3 linked regions of the Anolis sagrei genome follow. The protein of the gene in region 3 interacts with the protein of the main gene of each other region in a biochemical or structural test. Links are inferred from orthologs where the notes say so. Each region holds a gene or a part of one and is shown on either strand. Other genes may lie near its edges.

The links.
Region 1: of the proteins of MCM2 (region 3) and DBF4, one has a biochemical effect on the other in vitro, tested with the Homo sapiens proteins (3 studies listed by BioGRID). The link is inferred for Anolis sagrei from reciprocal best matches to the Homo sapiens genes MCM2 and DBF4.
Region 2: of the proteins of MCM2 (region 3) and CDC7, one has a biochemical effect on the other in vitro, tested with the Homo sapiens proteins (8 studies listed by BioGRID). The link is inferred for Anolis sagrei from reciprocal best matches to the Homo sapiens genes MCM2 and CDC7.

The regions. Positions count from the first base shown.
Region 1 is NC_090026.1:104,610,416-104,620,626, forward strand, and holds the start of DBF4 (protein DBF4 homolog A), read right to left. Parts: upstream 4,115-10,211; 5' UTR 3,950-4,114; intron 3,747-3,949; 5' UTR 3,688-3,746; coding exon 3,642-3,687; intron 1-3,641. Other genes in the region: mitochondrial glutathione transporter SLC25A40, read left to right, coding at 8,014-8,110, 9,575-9,634. UniProt on the Homo sapiens protein: Regulatory subunit for CDC7 which activates its kinase activity thereby playing a central role in DNA replication and cell proliferation. Required for progression of S phase.
Region 2 is NC_090024.1:150,720,222-150,730,765, forward strand, and holds the start of CDC7 (cell division cycle 7-related protein kinase), read right to left. Parts: upstream 4,710-10,544; 5' UTR 4,601-4,709; intron 2,525-4,600; 5' UTR 2,514-2,524; coding exon 2,429-2,513; intron 1-2,428. UniProt on the Homo sapiens protein: Kinase involved in initiation of DNA replication. Phosphorylates critical substrates that regulate the G1/S phase transition and initiation of DNA replication, such as MCM proteins and CLASPIN.
Region 3 is NC_090022.1:55,025,877-55,035,988, reverse strand, and holds the start of MCM2 (DNA replication licensing factor MCM2), read right to left. Parts: upstream 4,188-10,112; 5' UTR 4,066-4,187; coding exon 4,060-4,065; intron 1,818-4,059; coding exon 1,630-1,817; intron 158-1,629; coding exon 1-157. UniProt on the Homo sapiens protein: Acts as a component of the MCM2-7 complex (MCM complex) which is the replicative helicase essential for 'once per cell cycle' DNA replication initiation and elongation in eukaryotic cells.

The sequences.
Region 1 (10,211 bases), on a different chromosome or scaffold from region 3:
GTGTTGGAGGAAAATTCTGAGAGTACCTTGGACCGCAAGATCAAAGCAGTCCATACTCCAGGAAATAATGCATGACTTGTTACTGGAGGGAAGGGTATTAGAGGCAAAGATGAAGTACTTTGGCCACATCATGATAAGACAGGAAACTCTTGGAGAAGATAATGATGCTGGGGAAAATGGAAAGAAAAGGGAAGAGGAGCCAACCAAGGGCAAGATGGGTGGATGTTATCCTTGAAGTGGAGCCCCTGGTAGCGCAGTGGATTAAACCCTTATGCCGGCAGGACTGATGACTGACAGGTTGGAAGCTCGAATCTGAAGAGAGCTCAATTGAGCTTCCTCTGTCAGCTCTAGCTCCCCATGTGGGGACATGAGAGAAACCTCCCACAAGGATGATAAAACATCAAAACATTCAGGCGTCCCATGGGCAACGTCCTTGCAGATGGCCAATTCTCTCAAACCAAAAGTGACTTTCTCAAGTCGCTCCTGACACGGGGAAAAAACCCCTTAAAGTGACTGGCTTGACCTTGAAGGAACTGCGGTGGCCAAGGCCGACAGGGAGCTCTGGCGTGGGCTAGTCAACTGAACAAATAAACAACAACAACAAAATCTGCCTTGATATTCTGCATTATATGGCTGTGTGGAAGGGACCCAAGTTTCCCATCAGATGTCTTTAATAGCTGTGGGCCCTTCCACGCAGCCATACAACCCAGAATATCAAGGCAGAAAATCCCACAATATCTGCTTTGAACTGGGGCCCCTTCCACACAGCTGAATAAAATCCCACACTATCTGTTTTGAACTGGGATATATGGCAGTGTGGATTCAGATATCCCAGTTCAAAGCAGATAATGTGGGATTTTATTCAGCTGTGTGGAAGGGGCCCCAGTTCAATCAGCAGGGAAGAACTGGGAGTCCATACTGCCATAGAATCCAGTGGCACAGCTAGTTAGTAGCCAGCTGCATTAAATCACCACTGACCGATAGGTCATGAGTTCAAAGCCAGCCTGGGTCAGAGTAAGCTCCTGACCATTAATAGTCTAGCTTGCTGTCAACCTATGCAGCCCGAAAGACAGTTGTAGCTGTCAAGGAGGAATTTAGGAGGCCAATTTAACTAATTTGCAATGCCATAATATCTTCCAGCAGTGTGCGTAAGAATGAGGACGAACTCCATCAAAGGAACACAAGTGGATGGTGAAGTGGCTAGAATCGAACATACCCTCATGAAGCCAGAAAGCTGGAATGTTAAATTGCCTCTATGTCTGTGTATATATGTAGTCTGGCTAAATGACATTGAATGTTTGCCATGTATATGTGAATTGTAATCTGCCCTGAGTCCCCTGCGGGGTGAAAAGGGCAGAATATAAATATTGGAAATAATAATAATAATAATAATAATGATGATGTGTGGTTTGATACAGAACCAAGAACCTGCTTTAATTGAAATCAATAATCGGAAACTTCTCAAAGCACAGCAGACATAGAGTCAGTACAAGATAACTGCACTCCAAACCAGAGCTGACAGCTGGCACAATAAAGCCTTGGATGGGCAGTTCCTTGAGAAGATTGAAGGAAAAGTTGTCAAGGAGAAGACCTGGTTATGGCTCATGAATGGAACACTGAAGAAGGAGACGGAAGGCCCAATTCTTGCAGCCCAGGAGCAAGCCATCAGAAGCAATGCAATTAAGGCCAGGGTTGGAAAAAAAAAACCAGATTACCCAAAAAGCTGATGAAACCTCAGCTGTTACAAGAAAATCACACAGACTATAAACAAAGACACAACTCTGTGGCCCAGATGATTCACCAGAACTTATGTCACAAGTACCACCTGCCAGCAATAAAGAATTGGTGGGATCATAAACCCGCAAAGGTCATGGAAAATGAACATGCAAAAATACTGTGGGACTTTCAAATCCAGACTGACAAAGTTTTGGAACACAATGCACCAGACATCATGATTGTGGAAAAGAAAAAAGTCTGGATTATTGATGTCGCCATACCAGATGACCGTCGCATTGAGGAAAAACAACAGGAAAACCTCTATCAAGACCTCAAAATCAAACTGCAAAGGCTTTGGCATAATTCAGTACAGGTGGTCCCAGTGGTCATCGGAACACTGAGTGCCGTGCCAAAAGATCTGAGCCAGCATTTGGAAACAATAAACATTGACAAAATCACGATCTGTCAGCTGCAAAAGGCCACCTTACTTGGATCTGTGCACATCATTCGAAAATAAATCACACAGTCCTAGACGCTTGGGAAGTGTTAGACTTGTGATTTTGTGATACGAAATCCAGCATACAGATCTCGTTTGCTGTGACATACTGTGCTTTTGTGTCAGTACGTGCTTCTCCAGTGCCTGTTTTATAGAGACATTCGATCTCATCTCATCTTACCATGTACAATTAAATATCCAGGATGCTCTGGACAATTCTATGTAGATCTGCTGATCTCAGACACAAACTCGGCTGTGACGTACAACATCGCTAAGTTCTGCACGGCTGCAATTAAAATTCGGCGGACGATGATTGAGGGTTAAAAGACCTAAGCTTCTCCTCTGGAATATAGATGAGAAATCAGATATAGTCTGATATTATAGAGTTGGATATTCCCCCACTCCCTGGTGCCATCCCCACTACCTCTCTTTAGACTGCGTTGGATGAACTTGTGGGTTAAGTTAGGTTTTAATAACTATTATTATTATTATTATTAACTTTATTTGTACCCTGCTAGCATCTCCCGAAGGACTCAATGCGGCTTACAAAGGCCAAGGCCTCAAAACACAACATAACAATACAACACCTAAAGCAAATTAAAAACAATTAAAGCAAATATTAAACAACAAGCAATAAACAATACATCAAGACACTATAAAACTGGGCCGGGCCAGAGTAATGGGTACAGGATTAAAAGTGCTGATGTGACAGGTGATATGTAAGGATTATAGGGTAAGTTAAGTGCAGTGTGCAGCAATCTTAGTTCTGGGACTTGTTATTGGAGGTTCCTATTCTGGAAAGGCACATCGGAACAGCCAGGTTTTCAAGTTCTTTCTAAAGACTGCCAATGTAGGGGCCTATCTAAGATCTTTTGGGAGTGTGTTCCAGAGTCGGGGGGCCACCACAGAAAAGGCCCTGTCTCGCGTCCCCACCAAACACGGCTACGACGCTGGCGGGATCACGAGCAGGGCCTCTCCGGATGACTGAAGTGAGCGCGTGGGTTCGTAAACGGAGATACGGTCACGCAGGTAGGATGGTCCCAAACCGTTTAGGGCTTTGTAGGTAAGCACCTGCACCTTAAATTGGGCTCAGAAAATAAACGGCAGCCAGTGGAACTCCTTGAACCTCTCTCTGTAATGAGCCCCAGTTAACATCCTGGCTGCTGCCCGTTGGACCAGTATTGGTTTTTAGTTTCGATTTTAAAATTTGTTGAAGTTTAAAGTGTACAACCCCTTGGGTTTGATGTGAATGTACGGGACTGGGTCCCCATGTTGTGATCTGGTCTTCGACCGTAATAAACTTTACTACTACTTTGTGTCGGTAACATAATAATAGTAATGTGTGGTTTGATACAGCTGTGTGGAAGGGGATATTGAATAGCAGAAAGGAAGGAAGGAAGGAAGGAAGGAAGGCCCCAACCACACTTACAGGGGAACTGTCCTTTGCTGCTGCTTTTCAAACCACTTGGTTTCATTTTTCCTGGGAAGTCACATCTTCTTCTCGGCCCACTTCCCTGCGACGGTTAGTTGCGACCTGAAAGGAAAAGGAAAGAGATTCTCATGAACACACTTGAGAAGGCTTGAATATGGGGGAGAGGATTGAAGAAGAATGAAATACTCAGTGGGGGGAGGCGGGGTGTCCATTTAAAGAACGGGGCAACTTCTCTGCCGCCGCCGCCGCCTCCAAGCCCTGCTGCGCCCCCCCCCCTCAGGCCTCCGCCCCGCCCCGGGCCTTACGTTGCCTTCTCCCCGGGGGCAGCGCCTGGTGTGAGGCGCCCGTTCCAGCCCCGCGCTTCCCGGCGGCGGCGGAGGGGCGGTTGGCGTTTGAAAGCGGCGTCACCTCAGCCTCATGGCGCCGCCGCCGCTGCCGCTGAGGGGATTCTGCTCCGCCGCTCGGCCATTCGGCGCCTCGCCTTTCCCGCCTCGCTCGGGCTGGGCCTACCAGCAGCCTCCGAGGCGGGGCCTGGCGCTCTGGTTGGGCTGAATTCAAGGCCCAGGAGGAGGAGGAGGAGGAGGGCGGCGAGGAAGAGGAGGAGCCTCGCCTCTCAGAGGCCTCCTCGCCCGGCTCCTCTCCCTCTCAGTTGCCCAGGTAACCCTTCTCTTGGCCGCCCCTGAAGTGGAGGAATCCCTCATATCCAAAATGCTCCAGTAATGTTTGGGACTTGGGATACACTTGGGATGTTGGCATGTTTACCTGTATATGAGCATATACAGCAGGCCTTGGCAAACTTGGGCCCTCCCACAATGCCTGGTGTGTATGGTGCCCATGAAAGATTAATTTTATTGATTTATTTACTTTATTTGTATACCGCAGTTTCTCAGCTCATAGGCGACTCAACGCGGTTAACAACAAGAGCAAAAATTCAGTGCTAACAACATAGGTAAAGGTAAAGGTAGTCCCCTGACATTAAGTCCAGTCATGTCTGACTCTGGGGTGTGGTGCTCATCTCCATTTCTAAGCCGTTGTCCGTAGACACCTCCAAGGTCATGTGGCCGGCATGACTGCATGGAGCGCCATTACCTTCCCGCCGGAGCGGTACCTATTGATCTACTTACATTTGCATGTTTTCGAACTGCTAGGTTGGCAGAAGCTAGGGCTGACAGCGGAAGCTCACGCCGCTCCCCGGAATCGAACCTGCGACCTTTCGATCAACAAGCTCAGCAGCTCAGTGCTTTAACCCACTGCGTCACCGGGGGCTCTAACAACATACACTATTTAAAAACAATTAACACCGTAGTATACTAAATGATTAACATCAATAAACAACACATTAACATCTCGTAACTAGAATCGTGATCCAACTCGTCATCCGTAATTCCGTTTTCCTATATTCATTGCACTGCTTCTCCGAACGCCTGTTCAAATAGCCAGGTTTTCAGTTTTCTTCGAAACACCATTAACGAGGGGGCTGATCTAATGTCCATGGGAAGGGCGTTCCACAGCCGAGGGGCCACCACTGAGAAGGCCCTGTCCCTCGTCCCCGCCAAACGTGCCTGTGATGCAGGCGGGATCGAGAGCAGGGCCTCCCCAGAGGATCTTAAAGTCCTGGTGGGTTCATAGGCAGAGATACATAATGAATGTATTGTTTACACTTGGGTTTCATCTCCAAGGTTATATGTAGCATAGATATGCTAATGTGTGTGTGTGTGATGTCTATAAAATATTTATTTATTTATTTACAACTTTTATATTCCGCCCTTCTCACCCCGCAGGGGACTCAGGGCGGATTACAGTGTACACATATATGGCAAACATTCAATGCCAATTTTTGACATACAAACATATACAGACATACACAGAGTAGTAGCAGTAGTAATTTTATTGATTAGCCATTAGGCTATATCACAATAAGAAACAGAACAACAAGGCCTGACAAGACCTGATCACACTCCACGTAGAAAGTTAAAATAAGACACTTATAATAATACAGTAAATACATATGATAAGACATGATAAAACTGATCAAGCTGAGTATATACATCATATTTCATTATCACCCCTACAATTTACCCCAATCAGCCCTACATATGTGGTTCTCAGACGTATTGTTTTGCCTAAGTACAGAGCTGTTTTATATGTTATTTCTGGGTCTTGGCCACACATAAAATATGTTGTTCTGATGTGAGAATCCCAATACATTGTCCGTTTGATATATGGACCAAGGTGGAAGTCTCTCACCTTTTGATACAATTTGCAATCAAAAAATATGTGTGCTATATCCTCAATTTCAGGTGTCCCGCAGATACAACTTCGTTCATTATAAGGGATGCTGTTAAATCTCCTGTATCTAACCATTGTCTCGAGCTGATCAAATCTGGCTCGAGTGATGTTTTGGTATTTGCATTTTTAGGTAGTTAGCAGTTTGAAAGGTACGTTTATATTGACTCAGACATACACAGAGGCTATTTAACTTTTTTTCTGGCCGCCAGGGGAGCTGTCGCTTTCATCGTCCATCTGCGACGCTGATGAAGCACTTCCGCATTCCCTGCATGCTTCCCCGCTGGAATGCTTTGCTGGAGTCTTCTTTATGGCCTCATAAATCAGTTAATTTAGCCTCCCCACACTTTAAGGTGGTACCTAATTTTCCTACTTGACAGATGCAACTGTCTTTCGAGTTGCAAAGGTCGACAACAGGCTACACACAATTGGTTGGAAACCCACTCCAACCCGGGCTGGCTTCGAACTCATGACCTTTTGGTCAGAGTGATCTTAATGCAGCTGACACTCAGCCAGCTGTGCCACAATCCCGGTCTAGTATTTAGACCTGAATGTATAATTAACACTTGAGTTTCATCTCCAAGGTTTTGTATAGCATATATATGGCAATGTATCTATATGTGTGTATGGTGTCTATGAAAGATAGATTTATGTAATATTTAGACCTGAATGTATTGTTTACACTTGAGTTTCATCTCCAAGGATGGATAGATAGATAGATAGATAGATAGATAATATCTATATGGCAATGTATCTGTGTGTGGTGTCTATGAAAGATACATTAATGTAGTATTTAGACCTGGATCTCATTTCAAGGTATCTCACAAGATATATATCTGGCCTGGGCAAACTTGGGCCCTCCAGGTGTTCTGGACTTTCAACACCCACAATGCCTGGTGTGTATGGTGTCTATCAGAGATAAATGAATGTATTGTTTATACTTGGACTTCATCTCTCTCTCTCTCTCTCTCTCTCTCTCTATATATATATATATATCGCTATGTATCTATGTGTAGGTCCCCTGGCGGCACAGTAGGTTAAACCACTGCACTGCTGAACTTGCTAACCGAAAGGTCAGAGGTTCGAATCCGGAGAGCAGGGTGAGCTTCAGCTATTAGGCCCAGTTTCTGCCAACCTAGCAGTTCAAAACATGCAAATTTGAGTAGATCAATAGGTACCACTCTGGCAGGAAGGTAACAGCACTTCATGCAGTCATGCAGGCCACATGAGCTTGGAAGCATCTACGGACAACACTGGCTCTTCAGCTTAGAAATGGAGATGAGCTCCAGGCCCCAAAGTTGGACACGACTAGACTTAATGTCAAGGGCAAACTTTTCACTACAGCCAGGAAATCAGTAGGAGAGCAGTGGCCAATCTCAATAAAATAAAAGGACAGACTGTATTCTCTATCTCTTGATATTATGGGATACGCTTGATTTTTCTTGGGCCGTTTTTATACACAATGAGAATAATCATTAGGTTGAGAAAGTAACTCATATTCAGATGTTTCAGAGAGAACTTTTCCTTTCAAATTCACCTAAATGAGTGATAAACCATTTAGGTGGGGAGTGTACAGACACATATGTGTGTATATTTATTTATTTATTTTCAGTATTTCTATCCCACCCTTCTCAACTCCCGAGGGGGGATTCAGGGCGGCTTACAAATGGCTTATGTGTATGTATACATAGATTCCAAGTTAATCAGCACTTAAGGAGTATTGGCAGATGCCTAATAAATGTAGTTTCTGGTTGTCTGAGAGTTACTGTTAAAATAAACCTAATTAATACTGTACCCCATACTATATCACACCAAAAACTCTGTATTGACTTGTTAATATTGAAGTACCGTAATTGAATGCAAAGAGAGAAACCTAACTAATTTAACACAGCTTCACTGTTCTATAAAAAAGCTTTGTGAATGCAGTATGCAAATTTTGTGAAATGGTAGCCAGTAAACTTTTGCTGGTTGCTTGATAATTTCATTTGCTTGAATTCCAATTAATAGAGTCTACACAAACACACACACACATATATATATATTGATTTTTTTTAATCAGGTTATGCTTCTCAAGGAATAAATTATGGGTTCTGAAGAGAAAGAAGATGGATTATACAGCATTACAACGTCTCAGCAAGCAGTCTGTTCTTGTTGTGGTGCTCTTATTACTTCAGTTTTGGGTAAGAAAAGACAATTGAGGTCACTTAGCACACTGTTAATATGTCAGTGTTATTTTTAACAGGCATATTCTAAAAATGAGATAATGATCCTATTATAGGCATGTCCCACTGGGTTCAGTAGAGCTTTCTCTCCAGCAAATGTGTTTAGGATTGTAACCCAGTAGTCACAAATAGATATTGAGATACTCCTCACTGGAAGGGTAAGATGGCCACGGAAATCTGAAAATATCCCGTGAAGCCAGTGCTAAGACAGCAGCCAAAAAGGGACAAGTAATGGAAGATACAACAACTGGAAGCCACAGTGTCCCTTATTAGGAAAGAAAATACAAACTGGACACCAAATAATACAAACATTGAATTAGCCTGATTTTTTAAACACCAGGAAGTGTGATGAGCAATAATCTGTAGTTTGCAGAGATTTGCAAAATGCCTTTTAATCCATCCCCTGTGGGGATTTTCACTTTGTGCATTGTTAATAATGGTGAATCCTCTTTAAGTCAAATGAAAAATAAAAACCTCTCATGATTCAAGATTAGAAACAAATAGGTTGGAAACTATATTTGTGCCTTACTCCATTTGTATTCTGATTCCTAGCAAATATAATTGTACTTTCATAATAAATCCAAAGCCTATTACATCGAGACTCACGGCATTAGAGAAGGACTTTGTAGGCCATCTCTTCTAATCCCCTACTTAGTATAGGAAATCCTGAATGGAACATACCCAGCAAGCTTAACAACCTTGAGCAAGGGATAGTCTTTCTTCCAAGTCCCATTCTCAAAATATTTGTACAATCAAGAGGCATCTCAGGTTCCACTAACATTTATTCCCCTATACTTAAAGCCCATTCTATCTGGGCACCACAATTTAAGGGAGATGTTGACAAGCTGGAATGTGTCCAGAGGAGTGTGACTAAAATGATCAAGGGTCTGGAGAACAAGCCCTATGAGGAGCAGCTTAAAGAGCTGGGCATGTTTAGCCTGCAGAAGAGAAGGCTGGAAGGAGACATTATGAGGGCCACGTATAAAATATGAGAGGAGAAGTCATAGGGAGGAGGGAGCAAGCTTCTTTTCTGCTGCCCTGGCTCCAAACTACAGGAAAGGAGATTCCACCTGAACATTAGGAATAACTTCCTAACTGTGAGAGCTGTTCAGCAGTGGAACTCTCTGCCCTGGAGTGTGGTGGAGGCTCCTTTTTTGAAGGCTTTTAGACAGAGGCTGGATGGCCATCTGTCAGGGGTGCTTTGAATACCATTTTCCTGCTTTTTGGTAGGAGGTTGGACTGGATGGCCCACGAGGTCTCTTCCAACTCTGTGATTCTATATGATTCTAATTTTACCTTCTGGAGCACAAATGAACACATTATTATGTGTGTTGTTTTTTAAAACTTTTGCTCTTGAAACCATTGACCACATTTAGAGTGTTTAGAATGTTTTCCATTTGATGGTTTGTTTGTTTGCCTTAGTGACACCCCTAGATGTTGTCAAAGTTCGGATGCAAGTCCAGATGAATCCGTCTCTCAAAGGTAAATCTATAGCTCTACATTTGTGGTATGGGAAGGAGGAAGATGCTTGTTCTTCCATGTGTTTTGGTAATATATGTCAGTGTTAGTATGAGGGGAAGGATGGGAGCTTTACTGCACTCGAGTCTATGAGCAGTGAAATGTGATATTGAGTTAATAGCTTTTAAAACCATTAATAGTAACAATTTATCTATGGTGCAGTGGGTTAAACCACTGAGCTGCTGAACTTGCTGACCGAAAGGTTGCCGGTTGAAATCCGGGGAGTGGGGTGAGCTTCTGCTGTTAGCCCCAGCCTCTGCCAACCTAGCAGTTCGAAAACATGCAAATGTGATTAGATCAATAGGTACTGCTCCGGCTGGAAGGTAACGGTGCTCCATGCAGACATGCCAGCCACATAACCTTGGAGGTGTCTACGGACAACGCCGGCTCTTCGACTTAGAAATGGAAATGAGCACCAACCCCGAGAATCAGACACAACTGGACTTAATGTCAGGGATAACCTCTACCTATCTAGTTTTGCATTTGTAATATTGTTAATTTAGAAGGAAAAGACACACGTTTTAAAGAGCTTAAAGTGACA
Region 2 (10,544 bases), on a different chromosome or scaffold from region 3:
AAAGAGGTATAGTAACTGTGGGCCTTTAAAGACATAGCCATGTTAATCTGGATCAGAACAGAAAGGGATCTTGTAACATTTTTCTTAAGACTTTTTTTTTTGTCGTGTCAGGAGCGACCTGAGAAACTGCAAGTTGCTTCTGGTGTGAGAGAATTGGCTGTCTGCAAGGATGTTGCCCAGGGGACGCCCGGATGATTTGATGTTTTATCATCCTTGTGGGAGGCTTCTCTCATGTCCCCGCATGGGGAGCTGGAGCTGATAGAGGGAGCTCATCCGCCTCTCTCCGGATTTGAACCTGTGACCTGTCAGTCTTCAGGCCTGCCGGCACAGGGGTTTAACCCACTGCGCCACAGCAGTCTTGAGACTAAATGACAGGGAAAAGATTGTCATGTAAGCTTTTGTAGACAGGGACTACTTACTCAGATGCACAGAATGAAGTGCTTGTTGACAAATATTTGTGCCCATGAAGGGGTAGTGTGTGTCTGTGTCATTACACTCTAACTATTCATAGATAGAAATGTCTATCCATAGACACTTCACTTAGGCCCCTTCCACACAGCTGAATAAAATCCCATATTATCTGCTTTGAACTGGGATACACGGCAGTGTGGACTCAGATATTCCAGTTCAAAGCAGATATTCTGGGGTTTTCTACCTTGATATTCTGGGTTATATGGCTGTGTGGAAGGGCCTTAGAGCATCTGATGAAAAACAATCCTACAAGCTTCTTTCTCTGAATTAGTTTCTAAGATGTTACAACAGTCCTTGTGCTGTTCCACTATCAAGCATGAAGTGTTTCAATGATATCAGGTCCATCCAAACCTGAAGGCAACTGGCCAAAGGAGCACACCAAAGTTTTGCTGGAAAACACTGTGATGACCAAAGCCTTATGTAGGGTAAGAGGCTTTCAAAAATGTGAGAGGTACACTGGACCCTTCACTCCAGAGAGTGGCCTCCATAATAAAAGATGTATTTCCTGCTACTCCTGAGCAAGCTGGACAGAAGTTGAAGTAATAATTAGAGTTGGGCAAGGAGGAGAAATGGTACACCAAAAAGAAAAGGAGAACATTAGGAGATAGCAGCGCATGAGCCAAAATTGTGGCACGTATGTACCAATGACTAGAGAGCACTTTATGCTCTCACAGTGTGAGACCAAGCAGGTGGGGCTAGACCTCTGCTTTGCTAACAGACCCAAATCTTATTTCATGGCAAACATTTTCAAAACTTTGAATAATTTCATTTTTATAATATGATGCCTGGGAATGGGGGACGCTTGACTCAACAGCAGTATGTGTGAAAAAGATCTTGGAGTCCTCATGGACAACAAGTTAAACATTAGCTAACAATGTCACACGGCAGTTAAAAAAAACAATGGGATTTTGGCCTGCATCAACAGGAGTCTAGTGTCTAGATCCAGGGAAGTCATTCTATCCCTCTCTTCTGCCTTGGTCAGACCACACCTGGAATCACACTATGTACAATTCTGAGCACTACAATTTAAGGGAGATGTTGACAAGCTGGAATGTGTCCAGAGGAGGGCGACTAAAATGATCAAGGGTCTGGAGAACAAGCCCTGTGAGAAGCGGCTTAAAGAGCTGGGCATATTTAGCCTACAAAAGAGAAGCCTGAGAGGAGACAATGATGGCCATGTACAAATATGTGAGAGGAAGTCATAAGTTGGAGGGAGCAGGCTGTTTTCTGCTGCCCTGGAGACTAGGGCGTGGAGCAATGACTTCAAATGACACGAAAGGAGATTCCACCTGAACATTAGGAAGAACTTCCTAACTGTTCACCAGTAGCACTCTCTGCCAAAGACGGTGGTGGAGGCTCCTTTTTGGGGGCTTTTAAACAGAGGCTGGATGGCCATCTGTCAGGGGTGTTTTGAATGTGACTTTCTTGGCAGGGGGTTGGACTGGATGGCCCACGAGGTCTCTTCCAAATCTATGTCAGCTGTCTGACATCATAGATCATACACTGTGGGCCTTCCATTGCTCTTCTCCTGCGATCCACTATTATCTGCCTTCCAGATCAGACATACAAGGTGTGCAGGGAGAGGAGAAAATTATCATTTCCAGTAGCAGACAACAAACATTTGTTGCAACTCATTATTTTTTTAAGCTCCAAGGCATTCCCATCAACCCAGAATACAATTAAGAATTTTTAAAAAGCAAATATTTTGATAAACCAAAGTAAGGATTAACTTGTAAATTTGAATCAACCAAGTATTCCAAATGTCCCGCTTTGCTACAAGTTCTTCTATACTAACGCATAAATGAAATCATCAATAAAAAGTACAGTTTGTTTTTAAAGTATCTTATGCCAAAATATGAGTATGGAAGGGTCCCAAGAAAACAGGTGGAGGCCTTATAACAGGAAAGGAAGAATTTACAAGATTTTGGAGGGAGGAAAGATGTGTTAAAGTGTGTACCTGATAGCTTCTTGTTCTGGCTGTATTTCTTACTTGGGTCTTCACTGTGCATGGGAGGATGTTCAATCTGATGAGCTGCCTCCATTGTAATGCTACCTGAAAGCAGCCACAGAAGTTCAGAATCAGGGTCAAATTCTCTTCTGGATTTACATGCAAGTTTTCAAGTCTAAACACACTGAAAGAAATTCGCTCCCTTCTCTCAGCACACTGTATAAAGGTTAGTTAGACAAGGCAGCAAAGTGGTCCATAGACGCGTGCTGATCCTCCAGCCCCTGGAGAGTTTCCAAGCAAGAAAAGACAAGAAAAGGAATCCCAGGTTGCAGGGGAGCGTTTGCACAATTAAAACTTGTGCGCCAGCTGCGCCTGTACCTTGGGAAGTCAGACTTGGCCACGGTGGTCCATGCTCTTGTTACGTCTAGAATAGACTACTGCAACACACTCTATGTGGGGTTGCCTTTGAAGACTGCTCGGAAGCTTCAAATAGTTCAACAAGAGGCAGCCAGGTTAATAACTGGGGCGGCATACAGGGAGCATACAACTCCCATGTTACGCCAACTTCACTGGCTGCCAGTTTGCTACCGGGCACAATTCAAAGTGCTGGCTTTGGCCTATAAAGCCCTAAACGGCCCTGGCCCAAATTACCTGTCCGAACGGATCTCCCCCTATGAACCATCACGGAGATTAAGATCCTCCGGGGAGGCCCTGCTTTTCGTCCCACCATTGTCACAGGCGCGATTGGTGGGGGCGAGAGACAGGGCCTTCTTGGTGATTGCTCCCCGGCTATGGAACTCCCTTCCTGGTGAGATCAGGTCGGCCCCCTCCCTCCTGTCCTTTAGAAGGATGGTAAAAACTTGGCTGTGGGACCAAGCTTTCGGGACAGGGCAATGAAGCGGCAATGGGAAAGATGACAGGGCCAATTGGATTTGATGCGGATAGCTAGGACGGTTTTAAATGGTGTTATTTTAAATAGTGTGTTTTAATATTTCGATAAATGTTTTTTAATGTTTATGTATTGTATCCAGGCCCTGAAAATTTGCCGTGTATATGCTGTGCTCTGCTCTGAGTCTCCTTCGGGGTGAGAAGGGCGGAATATAAATGTTTTAAATAAATAAATAAATAACTGTGGTCAATAGACACACAAATATGGTGTGAGGCTCTGTCGCTCTTGGGAGGGGGACTGGGCTTCAATAGAATGCAAGGCACAACAGGCACTGGCAAACTCTGGCTCTCCAGATGTTTTGGACTCCAACTCCCACAATTCCTAACAGCCTCAGGCCCCTTCCTTTCCTCCCATAAGCGGCTGAGGGGGAAAAGGAAAAGGTCTGAAGCTGTTAGGAATTGTGGGAGGTGGAGTCCAAAATACCTGGAAGGCCGAAGTTTGCCCATGCCTGATCTATAATGTAGAATTAAATTGAACTCCCATGTCTCAATGCTACCCAGTTCTGGGATTTGTAGTTTGGTGATGAAGCACTAGCACTCTTTGGCAGAGAAGATGTAGGTCTTTGTAAACTACAACTCCCTGATATATAATGTAGAATTAATAGTTTGGCACCACTTGAACACCCATATCTCAATGCTACCCAATTCTGGGATTTGTAGTTTGGTGATGAAGCACTAGCACTCTTTGGCAGAGAAGATTAGTCTTTGTAAACGACAACTCCCACAATTCCTTAGCACTGAGTCATAGTGGCGTCAGTAATGTCAAAATGGCTTAACTCTTCCCAAACGGGGCCTGGTGCCTTTAAGGCTTTGATTCCTAGAGCTATGAAGGACTGAGCCTTAAAACAAAGTGGGCCAAAAGTCAAAAAGGCCTTCGATGTTGTAACAACTTTCTCAAAAGTTGCTATATATACTCTGTATCGGGCATGTGCAAACTTCAGCCCTCCAGGTGTTTTGGACTTCAACTCTCACAATTCTTAACAGCCTACCGGCTGTTAGGAATTGTGGGAGTTGAAGTCCAAAACACCTGGAGGGCTGAAGTTTGCCCATGGCTGCTCGTTATGGTGCTAAATAGTATGGAACACTGAAAACAGAGGCCTCTGCTCAAGCGAGGAAGGGGAGGAGAGGCCCAGCAAAGTGCTTCTCGGGTCTCCACACCCCGCCACTCCGAGGGAGAGTTGTCCTGTCTTCTTCCCCCATCGTTCCTCTTCTTTGCTCGGCTTTTTTACTCACTTGATCGCCCGCTTCCTCACTCGGTGGCTTCCCTTTCTTTCAAACAACGGCGCCTCTCCGGCTGACTCTCCGCCTCCTTTGGCGCCAAAAAACCGCGCTGTCCGTCGCAACGGCGCCCCCTGTCGGCCGCGGAGGGAGGAGTCCGCCTTGTCAGCCGGCCAAAGACAAGCAAGGCCTCTTTCTCTCTCAGCCTCCTCCTCCTCCCTCCCACGCTCCAAATAAGGCCCTTCTACAAGGAAGTTTGTGAAGGAACTGCTTTCTGGGCTATAGAGACTTCACCCCAATGAGCATGTCAAGTCTTTAGAAGTGTAGATTACCATACAGCTCCGTTTTGAAACTAAAGGGATGATTTTTCCCATCTCCATCCCATTGCACAGTAGCAAATTATCTGTTTCTTTCAGGAGTTCTCAGTCTATTTGCCGTTCAACCCACTGTCCCTCCCCTGTTTTCTTTGTGAGAAACAACAACAAAACTTGCCATACATCAAGGGAACCACTGACCGCATAGGGAAACTGATGAGGAAACACAACATACAAACCACTTACAGACCCACCAAGAAAATCCAACAAATGCTACGTTCAGCAAAGGACAAGAGGGATCCTCTTACCTCTGCAGGAGTCTACCGTGTACCATGCAGCTGTGGACAAGTCTACATAGGGACCACCAAACGCAGCATTGCCCAAACACGAATCAAGGAACATGAAAGACACTGCAGACTACTTCAGCCAGAGAAGTCAGCCATAGCAGAGCACCTGATGAACCAACCTGGACACAGCATATTATTTGAGAACACAGAAATGCTGGACCACTCCAACAACCATCATGTCAGACTACACAGAGAAGCCATTGAAATCCACAAGCATGTGGACAATTTCAACAGAAAGGAGGAAACCATGAAGATGAATAAAATCTGGCTACCAGTATTACAAAACTCAAAAATTACAACAGCAAAACAACAGAGGGGAAACAAACAGGCACATAAAATCACTCTCAACAAGAGATTCCCCCCAGGCGCTTCCAGGCCATTGAATGCAAATCAAGGTGATCAGCTGAAACATTCACAGCTTGCCCCAGCAGACAGGGGTCCTTTGTCTCACCCTGGTCATTCCACAGATATATAAACCCATTTTCCTACTTCCAACAGACCTCACTACCTCTGAGGATGTTGCCATAGATGCAGGCGAAACGTCAGGAGAAAAATTGCCTCCAGAACATGGCCATATAGCCCGGAAAAACCTACAACAACCCAACAAAACTTTATTTATATACCGCTCTATCTCCCCAAGGGGACTCAGAGCGGTTTCCAAGTAACATAATCAATACATACAAAGAAAACAGTATAAACATAAAATTATGCCAAGACAATATGAGCCTTAAAAAACCACAATAGCACATATATTTAAAATAATTCTGCCTGTTCAAGGCAGTTTAAAAAGCCAGGCCAGGCTAGTGCGATTTTAGTGGGCCGAGGAAATTAGGTAGAGTCTATGGCTGTACATTTCCAGGGCCTAATAGAAGAAAGTGACCTGGGTAATTGGTAGAAAAAGATATGGCCACTTTCAACAGTGTCTGGGGCAGAGCTAGAACTAGTCGTTCTCAAAGGTTTGTTTAAACCACCAGGTCTTCAGGCTCTTACAAAAGGAGGGGGCAACGGGGCCTGTCTTATTTCTCCAGGAAGAGGGTTCCAGAGGCAGGGGGCCACCACTGAGAAGGCCCTCTCTCTCATCCCCACCAACCATGCTTGTGACAGTGGTGGGAGCGAATCGAGGGCCTCCCTGGAAGATCTTAAAGTTTGCATTGGTTCTAAGGCCCGTCGCAAACTCTGTTCCTGGGGAGAAAACCTTGCTAGCATGTCCCTGACGTCACGAGACTCCGCCTCTCTCCCCACCCCTTTCTCCGCCCCTTTCTCTTTGCCAGCGTGGTTTTTCCTTTGCTAGGGCAGCATTGCCCGCATTTTCTCTCAGTTGGCAGAATTCAACTGAGAGAAAATGCGGGCAATGCTGCCCTAGCAAAGGAAAAACCACGCTGGCAAAGAGAAAGGGGCGGAGAAAGGGGCGGGGAGAGAGGCTCAGGCTCATGACGTCAGGGACTTGCTAGCAAGGTTTTCTCCCGCAGGAACCTAGTTTGCGACGGCTCATAGAGGGAGATGCGATCACGAAGATAGGTGGGGCCCGAATTGTTTAGGGCTTTATAGGTCATAACCTGCACCTTGAATTTGGCTCGGCAACTTATTGGCAGTCAGTGAAGCTGTTTTAAAAGGGGCGTAGTATGCTCCCTATAGTTTGCTCCAGTAAGGAGCCTGGCTGCCACCCGTTGTACCAGTTAGAGTTTCCGGGCCATCTTCAAGGGCAGCCCCACATAGAGCGCATTGCAATAGTCCAATCTGAAACACCTCTAGAACATGGCCACACACCCCAAAAAATCTACCACAACCCAAGAAACATCTTTCCTGGACTATTATTTTTGTTCCTGGGTTATCAATGTCATTTCCTAATTGGTTCTATCATAAACACATGGGAAAAGTTTGTTAAACTGCAAAAACTTTTATTTTGCAGGAGGGACATCTTGCTAGAGCGGTGTTTCTCAACCTGGGGGTTGGGACCCCAGGGGTGGGGGTCGTGAGAGGGTGTCAAAGGGGTTGTCAAAGACCATCAGAAAATGCAGTATATTCTGTTGGTGATGGGTGTTCTGTGTTGGAAGTTTGGCCCAATTCTATCGTTGGTGGGATTTAGAATGCTCTTCGATTGTAGGCCTTGACATTTGGGAGTTGTAGTTGCTGGAATTTATAGTTCACCTACAATAAAAGAGCACTTTGAACCCAGTCCACAATGGATCTGCACCAAACTTGGCACACTACCTACATGGCCAACATTGAATACTGGTGGGGTTGGGGTTTGGGGGCTGTTTCTGAATTCTGGGAGTTGTCGGTCACCAATATCAAAAACGAATAGAAGGGCAGGTGGAGAGATCTTTAGCCTTCTCTGCCAAAAGGGTTTCTGAGACCATCAGAAATATGTATTTTCTAATGGTCTTTGGTGACCCCTCTGAAACCCCACTCATGACCCCCCCCCCCAAGGGGTCCTGACCCCCAGGTTGAGAAACGTTGTAGAGTTTCCACCCATTTAACATAGGCCCCTTCCACACAGCTGAATAAAATCCCACATCATCTGTTTTTGTGCAGGTACAACTGTACCAGGAGCTCCAATTCTGTTTGCTTTTGCATTAAATGTTTGTTTGCAATCCCAGGCTTGGGATTTTGCAGCAGGGTGCCTTCCTGTTATAGTTTGCAATCATAGGGCAAGCCACCTGTCAATTATCGTTAGGTTCCCTGGTCCCACCCCTTTTTGAGTTTTGGAGGGAATAGGAGCCTTTTTGAGTCAGTCCACACAGAGCAGCTTTCCATGCAGGACATAACTCCAAGAGCTCCTGTAGAAAGCTTCGTCTTCTACGGCTTGGCCGGGGAGATATATAGCCTACAGCTTGGCCGGGGAGAAAAGGCCCCACAGCTTGGCTGAGGATTTTACAGCCTTACAGCTCCTTTGCGGAGGGACTTCAGCCAGCCATCACAGCAACCTGAACTCCTTCTTTTCCCCTGGAAGTCTACAAAGCTCTGCTTGGTAAGGGTCGCTCACGGAAGCCAGACGCAGTTGGTACCGGGTGCAGGGGCTACACGCCAACAGAGGCAAGTACAAACTGCCCAGATTAGAAGTTAAGGATTTCCCCATTAGTTAATTACAGTTAAGAAGATAGTGCCTGTTCCCAGTGAACAAGATTGCAAGAGCCAATAGACTGTTAAGAAAGCTTTAAAGTACCTGTTTGTTTCCATCAATAAAGAACTTTGTTGGATTTACTTTAAGCAATCTAAAGACTCTGTTTGGGGGGATCTAAGGGCCTTTGATCTGAGGCAGCCCCAGCATCCCGTTGGGCACACAGAATGTATGTCCTGTCTACAATCTAATGCACAGGCCCACCGTGCGACAACACAGTTTTGAACTGGAATATATGGCAGTGTGGACTCAGATAACTCAGTTCAAAGCAGACCTTGTTGGATTTTATGGCTTGATATTCTGGGTTATGTGGCTGTGTGGAAGGGCCCAGAGTTTGGGTGCACAAAAACAAAGTTTCTGGAGAGCAACAACTACTTTCAAAGTAAGGACTACACAATTAAATAAGTAACACAGAGTAGGAACAACTTTTCTTTATTATTATTTTATTGTTGTTGTTATTATTATTATTATTCAGAGGCAGGATGGCCATCTGTCTGGGGTGCTTTAGCTACATCGCAGAAATAAGGGGGTTGGACTAGATGGCCCTTGGAGTCAACCAAAGGAGGGGGGAAGGAGGTGGTGTCTGGGGGCACTCCCTTCCTTCAGTGTTGGAAGAAGGAAGAAGGGAAAGAAGAAGAGGTCACACATGGCATACACAAGGCAGAAAAGGAAGGAAGGAAGGAAGGAAGAAGGAAGGCAAGCAGGCACCCAGAAAGTGCACCAGACAGAAAGGAACACAACATACTGCTGATCTTCCCTCCTCCATGAGCAAAAGGTAACGGTGGAGATTTTCCTCAAAGGGGAATATTGGAAGGGGCCTCATATTAACCAGTTCAAATTTGATAATCTGGGATCATATCCTGGGATACAGGATAGTGTAGATTCAGAAATAGGTCCCTTTTACACTGCCATATAAAATCCAGATTATCTGCTTTTAACTGGATTATAAGGCAGTGCAAACTCTTATTATCCAGTTCAAAGCAGATAATGTGGATAATGCTTTGATAATCTGGATTACTGTGCATGGCAGTGTAGAAGGGACCTGATTCAACAAAGTAAATTATGTGTCACTTTGCATTTACCATAGGTTTTGAGGCATGGTGATCAAAGGACAATTAGATTATACAATAATATGTTGTATTTAATATGCTGTATTTAATTATTCAGAATATTCATAATGCGTATCTTTTCTTTGTTGCAAATGTCTACTAGGTTACTTTGCATGACGTTTTATGAAAGAAAAGGGGATATATGGTAAATTATATGAAGTCAGTATTTGAATCTATTCCACTTTTTAGAATTTCTCTGCTCAATGCGGCTTAGTAAATAAAAGCGAAAATGTAATAATATTCCACGTTAGTCAAACAATAAATAGCAAACAACAACATTGAGGCCCCTTCCACGCAGCTGAATAAAATGTTATATGGCAGTGTGGACTCAGACAACCCAGTTCAAAGCAGATATTGTGGGACTTTCTGTCTTGATATTCAGGGTTATATGGCTGTGTGGAAAGGCCCTAAGTAACCTTAGATTAACTGGAACAGATAAAACCATTTAAAACACCCCAAAGTAGACTGGAATAAAAACATATAATTCATTCAGTGTTCCCTTAAATAGCCAAATGTTGCTTATAGCTACATACCCTTATGTTCAGTCATTCAGGTCATGACTTGAATAAAGTGTTCTTCTGAATTTCTAAAAATATGATATTGAAGACATTAAATCAGGTATAAAGAATTGTTACAATAGCTATGTGAATAATTGCTATGTGACAGCCTCCTGTTCCTTGCGCTCCTTGTCAACCCAACAATTTAAATAATAAGAATAATGGTGGGAAGATTCAGGGATATGCACACATGCAAATTCGGACCCCGATCTGATAAGGCTAAAAAAGGTTGAAGTGTTAGGCCAAAACTAATACACTGAATTTCAAAAGTGATAAATGTGAGGTATACATCTAAGCATGAAAAATGAAATCCACAAATATAGAATGGTTGGCGCCTGACTTGAAAGCAGTACATGTGAGAAGGAGATGGGGGTCTTAGTAGACCACAAGCTAAACTTGAACCTGTAAGTGTGATGCCGCAGCCAAAAAAAGCCAATGTAGTTCTAGGCTGCATCAAAAGCAAAAAAGATCAAAGGAAGTCGTACTATAGTGCAACTCTATTCTGGTTTAA
Region 3 (10,112 bases):
CATGCGGCCCAAGCCATGGCCCAGTTCGCGGTCCCTCTGCCTCATGGCCCGCTCTGCTGCCTCCCTTTGACTGGCCGTCAGTTCCTCCACGTCTTCATCATCCTGGGCCAGCCCTTCCGGTGAATAGACATCCAGCTCTGGAATAGGCCGGTAATCCCTAGACACCACACAGAGAGCTCAGACTATGCTGTGCTTTAGCGATGACATTACATTTGCTTTAAGGCTCTGGCCCCAACAGCTCAATGACTGCACGGCATAGTGTGAGTGAATATGAAAACATCACTTATTTTACAGAAACACTGCCATCCTCTCATTCCAAACCCATGAGATGTTCACACGTGAGATCTTATCTTTCATAAGAATTTCGGGCATGAACTGTGCAGTTGCAATTGTACAGTCTCAGCCTGCACTTCATAGATGACATCTGCATTTGCCTCACGTCAAGTCATGACATAAACGACTGATTCCAATGGACACTCATTGATCAATCTCGATGAGTGCTCATGTGTATGTTGAAAAGGTCTTTAAGAATAACTGTATATACCAGATCCTTGGGACATGTGCATAGATAATTATTATAAGTGGTGCAGCATTCTACAAGTACCACTGACATTTCTTTTACATAAAAGCATCAATTTATGTGGTGCACCGCAATATTCAAAACCATACCCTAATAAAAACATCTTATACCAGAATGGAAAGATACTGGGTACCGTAAAGCATGGGTGCAATCAAAAGACTTTAAAAGAAGAAGATAGCTTTCTGAGACTGTATCTACACTGCCATATCATGCAGTTTGAAATTGCACTGTATGGTTAGTGTAGACCAGGCATAGACAAACTTTGGCCCTTCATGTGTTTTGGACTCCAACTCCCAGTTTGTGGTAGTTGAGGTCCAAAACACTTGGAGGACTGAAGTTTGCCCGTGCCTGGAGGGCCAAAGTCTGCCCATGCCTGATGTAGACTCATATAATTAACATCTGGGAACATCAGTATCATGATGCTCATCTTGCAAATCAGTTTGGAAACAACTTTCAATATATATTGAAATGTGGATCTGTAGTCAGGACGCTTGGGCATAACATTGCTACAGCTGGGTGAGAGGAGGCAACCGTAAAAAATACTGAGCAGAAGGACTGCCTCTTAAGTAGAGCAATCTTTCACCCACAGAGGCCAATCAGATGGCTATGAGAAGCTGATAAACAGGCTTCGAAGGCCACAGTCAACACTCAACCAAGTTCTTGAGCTATCTCACATCAGAGCTAATATACATCATCACAACTTCAAACCATTTCTAGCAACTGTTATCTATCTCTGTTTTATGCCGTTTCTTTCTTGAGCAAAAATTATTATTAAAAACGTCTGGAATACAATGGTACTGCCAATTCTTAGGTTTACTTCCAACAATAAATTCTGATGGAATAAGGTTCAGCTTCCATAATACCTGACCATTTAAAACAAACCTTATTTAATTTAGAAATAAAGGAACATAACCAGAGACAGAACGTTTGCCTCTTCAAAACACATGCTTTCACAGATGTCCAATTTCCAGCCATATCAAGCATCACCCTCATTCTGCCCCCAAAGAAGAGGCCCCAGCAAGGACCCAAAGACTGTGCAAGCCCTCTACCTTTCCATCCCATCTCCAATGAGGTCTTCTCCATCTTCTTCATCTTCATCTGGGAGCCCCTCAGTCCCAAGGAGTCCTTCCGATTCGTCTGCAAAGGGAGGCAGGTCTCTCCCAGGGCTGGAAGTGAGGGCGTCTCCTCGACGAGAGCTAGCCTGGGGGCTGGTAACCACGTTCGACTCGGAAGAATCCTAAAGGAAGTTGTAAAGCTACCATCAGTGAGGAATGTCTTAACTTTTACCAACTATTCCTTGCATTTCCTTGCTTTTCTCCATCACTTACTTTTTAATATATCATGGGTAGTCAGCCTCTCCCGGGACTGTAAGAGGGTTTTGTGAGACCAATCACCCTCATTGCCACATGTTTTTGAGGAAATTATGTAGTAATGGTGGGGAGCATATTTTCGTTCTTGCAGACCACTGGTGATCCACAGACCACAGTTTGGGAACCACTGCTAGAGCTTAAAGAGCCGTCAGAATATGCATCCTATTCGAAACCCTGTGGCTGCCTCCTGCAGAATTTTGGGGCTTGTAATTTAGAGAGGGGCCTTTCAGATGCTGAGCCAAAGAGGACCTGGGCCTCACTAAACTACAAACCCCAGAATTCTGCAGGAGGCAGCCACGGGGTTTCAAATGGGATGCATATAATTTGCCTACTCTTTAAGCTCAAAGACATGGCGTCTTAGTATAGGTCAAGCAACCCTTATCCAGAATCCCCAAATAGCCCAGAATATAAAACTGTCCACATGTGTGGCTAACATTGTGATGCCTTTGCTTTCTGGTGGTTCAATGTACACAAGCTTTGCTTCATGCACAGAATAATTTTGAAACGTTTGTGCATAAAATTACCTTCAGGATATACATATATAAATAAATTTTATATTTGTTTATTTATTTATGTCCTATATTTATATACCACCTTGCTCAGCCTGGGGGGGGGGGCAAGGCGGTTTACAACTTATAGTGGTAAAAATTCAGTGCCAACATACATGTAAAAAGAAAAATCATAATAACTAAGCACTAATATATAATTATAAATAAAAATCACTAAAACCATTAAACATGAGACATTAAGATTTAAACATTAAAACAAAACATTAAAATATCTCAATATAAATATTAAAATCACATGATCCAAATATTAACATTTGGGTCCCATCTCCAAGATTTGGGTCCCATCTCCAAAATATTTTATTATATACAGCATATGCAAATAGAGCTACTCTAAAATCCAAAATAACTAATAATAGCTGTATTCCCAAACACCCCTGGACCCTAGCATTTCAAATAAGGGATACCCAACCTATGGCACTATATAACAAAATTTGAAAAATAATTCTGTTCCTGGCTTGAAAGTGTTATTTCTTGTTTAATTGTGCAGCACTTACTTTGAAAGTAGTTGTTATACCCCAGAAACTTCATTTTTGTGGCTACCACAAACTATGTTGAATTGATTAGGGACATTGTGAGATATTCATTGAAAAGCTATAGCAAAATGTGCTGAGGGGGTCCCGCAAAAACAAAGTTTTTGCAGTTTAATAAACGTTTCTCATGTTTTTATGATTGAACCAATTAGAAAATGCCATTTATAACCCAGGAACAAAAATAATGTTATGTAGTGTAGTTCAGGCATGGATAAATCTGGGCCTTCCAGGTGTTTTGGACTTCAACTCCCACCATTCCTAACAGCCTCAGGCCCTTTCCTTTTACCCCTCAGCTGCATAAGTGGCTGAGGAGTAAAAGGGAAGGGCCTGGGGCTGTTAAGAATGGTGGGAGTTGAAGTCCAAAACACCTGGAAGGCCCAGATTTACCCAAGCCTGGTGTAGTATGCTGTAGTTTATGAAAGTTTATGTTGCAAAATGACTTTCCACCTGGACTAGAGAACAGAAGGAAACGCACAAACCCTGGTAGGGCTTGCTTCCATGTAGCTGTGCACAAAACTACAGCCTAGGGTGCATCTACATTGTAGAATTTATGCAGTTTGACACCACTTTCACTCTCATGGCTGAATGCTATGGAATCCTGGGAACTGTCTTTAGCCTGCTTTGCCAGACACTGCAAATGCCTAACTAAACTACAACTCTCAAGATTCCACAGCGTTGAACCATGGCAATTAAAGCGGTGTCAAACTGCAGTAATCCTACTGTGTAGAAGCACCCTAGCGTGTAGTTTTGCCCTGCACCTTGCTGTCTTTGAACAGGAGCCCAGATATTCACACCCACAACCCCTCTCCCTTTCAAACTCTAGAAAGTACAAAACATTCAAATGCTCAATAGATTTCTCCCAAAAATCCTTCCAAAAAAAAGCTTCTAGCAAAGGAAAAGCAGGAGAGGAAAAAGTTCCATGGTTTGGACAAAACCTTTAAATGTAATGCTAAGTAAGAAAAGTTAAGCTTAAGGATTTTCCTCTATAAAAAAGTCCAGTCCCAACTCACCGCCATTATTTCGATAAAGGTTCACAAATCCGCAGAGCTTTCCTCTGTGCTTGCTTGGCTCCTCCAAGTGCACTCCCAGGGCCAGGCTGAATTCCGCGGGAAAGACGGTCACATGGTGCAAAAGCCCGCGAAAGCTCATGAATAATGAATAAGAGAGCTCCTCCTGAATATGCAAATGTCGCGCTTCCTCTTCCGGAGCGCATGGAACCAAACAGCGCCCCTGCTGTAAACAGTGATCAGCAGGGCGCTAAGGAAAGGCCGCTTCCATACAGCCCTGTATCTCAGAATATCAAAGCAGGAAATCCCACATTATCTAAATGTGGACTCAGATAAGCCAGTTCAAAGCAGACATTGTGGGATTTTCTGCCTTTATATTCTGGGATATAGGGCTGTGTAGAAGAGCCCTGAGTCCACACTGCCATATATTCCAGTTCAAAGCAAATAATGTGGGATTTTATTCAGCTGTGTGGAAGGGACCAAAGACAGATGGTATTTAGGATGCAAAATTATCAGTGCATCAACACTGCAAAATTACTCCAGTTTACTTCAAACACTGCATCTTAAGGCTATGGAATCATGTGATTTGTAGTTTTACAAGGTCTTTGCTCCTCTCTGCCCAAAAGGGCTGGATTTTCACCAAACTGCAAATCCCAGGACTCCATACTATTGAGCCATGGCAGTTCAAGTGGCATCAAACTGCGTTAATCCAACTGTATAGATGCACTCTTGGTGTCCTATTTATTTTTCTCTTTCGCCCTCCATTCGTACCTCTTCAAATTCTACAGCACTGCTGGTCACAGCTGACCTCCACCTGGAGCGCTCAGGGGCCAGGGCTTCCCACTCTGCCTTTCACTCTAATTGTTATGAAATAAATTGATTTATTGTGCTATTTCATCTTTCTAAAAATATACTGACTTTTATGAAATGCCCTGGTGTTCATGACATGAAGGATGGTGTAGAAATGTCTTAAATAGGCAATCTAATACTAAATGACCATGGAACAACAGACTGGTTCAAGATTGAGAAAGGCGTACGGCAGGCTGGTATACTGTCACACAACGTATTCAACTTGTATGCAGAACACATCATGCGATGTGCGGGGCTTCAGGAATGCAAGGCTAGGATGAAAATTGCTGGAAGAAACATTAACAACCTTAGATATGCAGATGACAGCACTTTGATGGCCGAAAGCGAGGAGAAGCTGAGGATCCTTCTAATCAAGGTGAAAGAAGAAAGCGCAAACGCTGGGTTGCAGTTAAACATTTTAAAAAACCAAGATTATGGCAACAAGAATGACTGACAACTGGGAAATAGAAGGAGAAAACATTGAGGCAGTGACAGACTTTGTATTTCGAGGTGCAAAGATTACTGCAGACACAGACTGCAGCCAGGAAATCAGGAAACGCTTACTTCTTGGGAGGAGAGCAATATTCAATCTTGATAAAATAGTAAAGAGTAGAGACATCAGACTGGCAACAAAGATCCGCATAGTTAAAGGAATGATATTCCCCATAGTAACCTACGGATGTGAGAGCTGGACCATAGGGAAGGCTGAGTGAAGGAAGATAGATGCTTTTGAACTGTGGTGTTGGAGGAAAGTTCTGAGAGTGCCTTGGACTGCGAGAAGATCCAACCAGTCCATACTTTAGGAAATAAAGCCTGACTGCTTATAGGAGGGAAGGATAGTAGAGGCAAAGCTAGTGGTCTTTGCTTCTTCCAGCACGCTGACGTTTGTCCGCCTGTCTTCCCAAGAGATTTGCAGGATTTTCCGGAGAAAATGGTCCTCCGCCATCAACTCCGCTGGACTGGTCACGTTGTCCGGATGCCTGACCACCGTCTCCCAAAGCAGTTGCTCTACTCTGAACTCAAGAACGGAAAACTGAATGTTAGTGGACAGGAAAAGAGATTTAAAGACGGGCTCAAAGCCAACCTTAAAAACTCTGGCATAGACACTGAGAATTGGGAAGCCCTGGCCCTTGAGCGCTCCAGCTGGAGATCAGCTGTGACCAGCAGTGCTGCAGAATTTGAAGAGGCATGAATGGAGGGCAAAAGGGAGAAGCATGCCAAGAGGAAGGCGCGTCAAGCCAACCCCGACTGAGACCGCCTTCCACCTGGAAACCAATGCCCTCACTGCAGAAGAAGATGCAGAGCAAGAATAGGGCTCCACAGCCACATACGGATCCACAAGAATACTGGAAGACAATCCTCCTCGGAAAATGAGGGATCGCCTAAGTAAGTAAGTAAGTAAGTAGAGGCAAAGATGAAGTACTTTGGCCACATCATGAGAAGACAGGAAAGCTTAGAGAAGACAATTATGTTGCGGAAAATGTAAGGAAAAAGGAAGAGGGGCCAACCAAGGGCAAGATGGATGGATGGTATCCTTGAAGTGACTGGATTGACCTTGAAGGAGCTGAGGGTGGTGGCAGCCAACAGGGAGCTCTGGCATGGACTAGTCCATGAAGTCACAAATAATCAGAAGCGACTGAACGAATGAACAACAAAAAATACTAAATGTAATAACTTCCTTGTAAACACAGTTACTGTAACTAAAGTGGTTAAAGACTCCAGAGAATGGATGATTGATTGATTGATTGAAAACATTTATCTTCCACCCTTCTCACCCCGAAGGGGACTCAGAGCGGAGTACAGCATATATACGGCAAACATTCAATGCCGGGACAAGAATTCATATACGCATACATAAACATTTAAAACATTTAACTCAATATTAAAATACACTGTTCAAAACCGTCTTGGTCATCTGTGTCAAATCTACTTGGTCTGGTAATCTTTCCTATTGCTGCTTTATTGCCCTGTCCCGAAAGCTTGGTTCCACAGCCAAGTTTTTACAATCCTTCTCACCATCAACCCCATACACTCTACAAGTGACTTAAATTACAACTTCCTTCATCCCCAGCTATTCTAATTGGGGATTTATTTATTTGTTGTGTCAGGGCAGCCAGTCAATTATATTACATTTCTAACAGAACAAAGCAAACAAACAGACAAAATACAAAAAAATTGTAAGTTTGGTGGTTGATTAAATGTCCTTTGACCAGTATCTGGCCACTTGGAGTGCTTCTGGTGTTGCCGCAAGAAGGTCCTCCATGGTGCATGTGGCAGGGCTCAGGGTGCAATTCAGCAGGAGGTCAGTGGTTTGCTCCTTTCCACACTCGCATGTCGAGGATTCCACTTTGTAGCCCCATTTCTTGAGGTTGGCTCTGCATCTTGTGGTGCCAGAGCGCAGTCTGTTCAGTGCCTTCCAATTCGCCCAGTCTTCTGTGTGCCCAGGGGGAGTCTCTCATTTGGTATCAGCCATTGGTTGAGGTTCTGGGTTTGAGCCTGCCACTTTTGGACTCTCGCTTGCTGAGGTGTTCCAGCAAGTGTCTCTGTAGATCTTAAAAAACTATTTCTAGATTTAATTGGGGATGATGTAAGTGTATCTTAACTGTTCAGTAACAGGCTCATAGCATTGGGAATGGTCATTCTGCCAACCTTGTTAGTGATCAAACAATGCTGTATAAAATCCACTGGAATTATATGGCAGTGTGGACTTAGATAATCCAAAGCAGATAATGTGGATGATCTGCCTTGATATTCTGATTATATGGCTGTGTGGAAGGGCCCTAGGAGGCTGTGGTTTCAGAAAAATATAGAATTTGATATTGGGGGCCCTTGCACACTGCCCTATATTCCAGAATATCAAGACAGAAAATCCCACATTATCTGGGTGTGGACTCTGATAACCCAGTTCAAAGCAGATATTGTGGGACTTCCTGCTTTGATATTCTGGGATATAGGGCTGTCTGGAAAGGCCTGGGATAAAAGCAGGTTTTGCGTTTCTACTTCTTGTTGCCCCAATGAATGAGCTGCTCCTTTAAGGCCGCGCTCTTTCTCCCCTTCAAACCCCGCCTCTCCTTTTTCCCCATTGGCTCATTTCCTCCTTCCTTTCGCTTTTGAGCCAGGCTGCTTCTACGTAGCTGTCTCCGGATTGGCTTTCGGCTCTAGGGACCGGGGCTCAATTTTCCTACCAAGAAAGAACCGTAAAACCGTGATGGTGTTTTTTCCCTTCTTCTCCCAAGACACCTGAGAGGAGGAGGACTCAGGTAATCGCCAACTCGAGAGGAAGAGGCAGCAAGTGTGCTTCGGCTCCGGAAACGGGTGGAACTTGAACGACGCCCCCTTATAAGGACAGCCCCCTTTTTATTATTTTATCTTTTTGGCGACTCGGGCTCGAACCTGGGAGGCTGCGGGGTGGCCGGCCCGGATCCCCGGGAATGAAGCAGGCGCTGCCTCCGTAGCGTTGGAAGGAAGCGGCGGAGAGAGAGAAAGAGAGCAAGCCTTTCCTGCTGCTGGGGCCCCAGGACGGTAGGAAGCCCCTATCCCTCAATACACCCCATTCCCACGCGTGACCCCCCTGGGCGCATCCCTTCCCCGGGTTTCTGCGTTGGGGGCCATGAAAGGGCGCCACTCTCCTTCCTCCAGCCAATCTCTCCCTCCCCAAAAGGCTGCCCCACTTTCGTGGATCTGGCCGCTGGCCTCTCCATTCTCCAAAGGGATCTCTGCGTGTGTTGTCTTCTGCGTAAACAACCCTCTTGCCCCACGATTGCTCTTGCCCCCTCCCCCTGCTGGGGGTGCGCCTACACTGCAGAGTTGATGCGGGTTGACACCACTTTCTAATGCTGGGGGGTCCTGTTTTTTGCGAGGAGGCATAAGAGCTTGTGAAACTACAACTCCCACAATCCCAATGCAGTGGCACACTGAGCTTTGTCGTGTAGGGAGGCACCCGCACTCTTTGGCAGAGAAAGCTAAGGACCCTGTGAAACTACGTCTCCCACAATGATATAGCATTCGGTCATGCAGTGGTTCTCAACCTGGGGTCCCCAGATGTTTTTGGCCTACAACTCCCAGAAATCCCAGCTAGTTTACCAGCTGTTAGGATTTCTGGGAGTTGAAGGCCAAAAACATCTGGGGACCCCAGGTTGAGAACTAGTGGGTTATGGCATTCAAAGTGGTGCCAAACTGAAACTACAACTCCCACAATCCCAATGCAATGGCACATTGGGCTTTGTAGTTGGCAGAGAAGGCTAAGGACCCTGAGAAACTACATTTCCCACAATGATATAACATTCAGCTATGGCATTCAAAGTGGTGCCAAACTGAAACTACAATTCCCACGATCCCAATGCAATAGCACATTGGGCTTTGTCCTTTGGGGAGGAACCAGCACTCTTTTGCAGAGAAAGCTAAGGACCCTGTGAAACTACATCTCCCACAATGATATAGCATTCTGTTATGGTATTCAAAGTGGTGCCAAACTGAAACTACAACTCCCACAATCCCAAAGCACATTGGGCTTTGTAGTTGGCAGAGAAGGCTAAGGACCCCGAGAAACTACATTTCCCACAATGATATAGCATTCTGTTATGGCATTCAGAGTGGTGCCAAACTGAAACTACAACTCCATAATCCCAATGCAATGGCACATTGGGCTTTGTAGTTGGCAGAGAAGGCTAAGGACCCTGAGAAACTACATTCCCCACAATTATACAACATTCAGCTATGGCATTCAATGTGGTGCCAAAATGAAACTACATCTCCCACAATCCCAGTGCAGTGGTGCATGGGGCTATGTCATTTGGGGAGGTACCAGCATTCTTTGGCAGAGAAAGCTAAGTACCCTTTGAACCTACATCTCCCACAATGATATAGCATTCTGTTATAGTATTCAAAGTGGTGCCAAACTGAAACTACATCTCCCACAATCCCAATGCAGTGGCACACTGGGCTTTGTCGTGTGGGGAGGCACCAGCACTCTTAGGCAGAGAAATCTAAGGTCCCTGTGAAACTACATCTCCCATAATGATATAGCTTTCTGTTATAGCATTCAAAGTGATGCCAAACTGAAACTACAACTCCCACAATCCCAATGCAATGGTACATTGGGCTTTATAGTTGGCAGATAAGGCTAAGCACCTTCTCTGCAGCCTCAGGCCCTTTCCTTTTCCCCCTCAGCCGCTTAAGCTGAGAGTTAACACAATAGAGTTAACTCT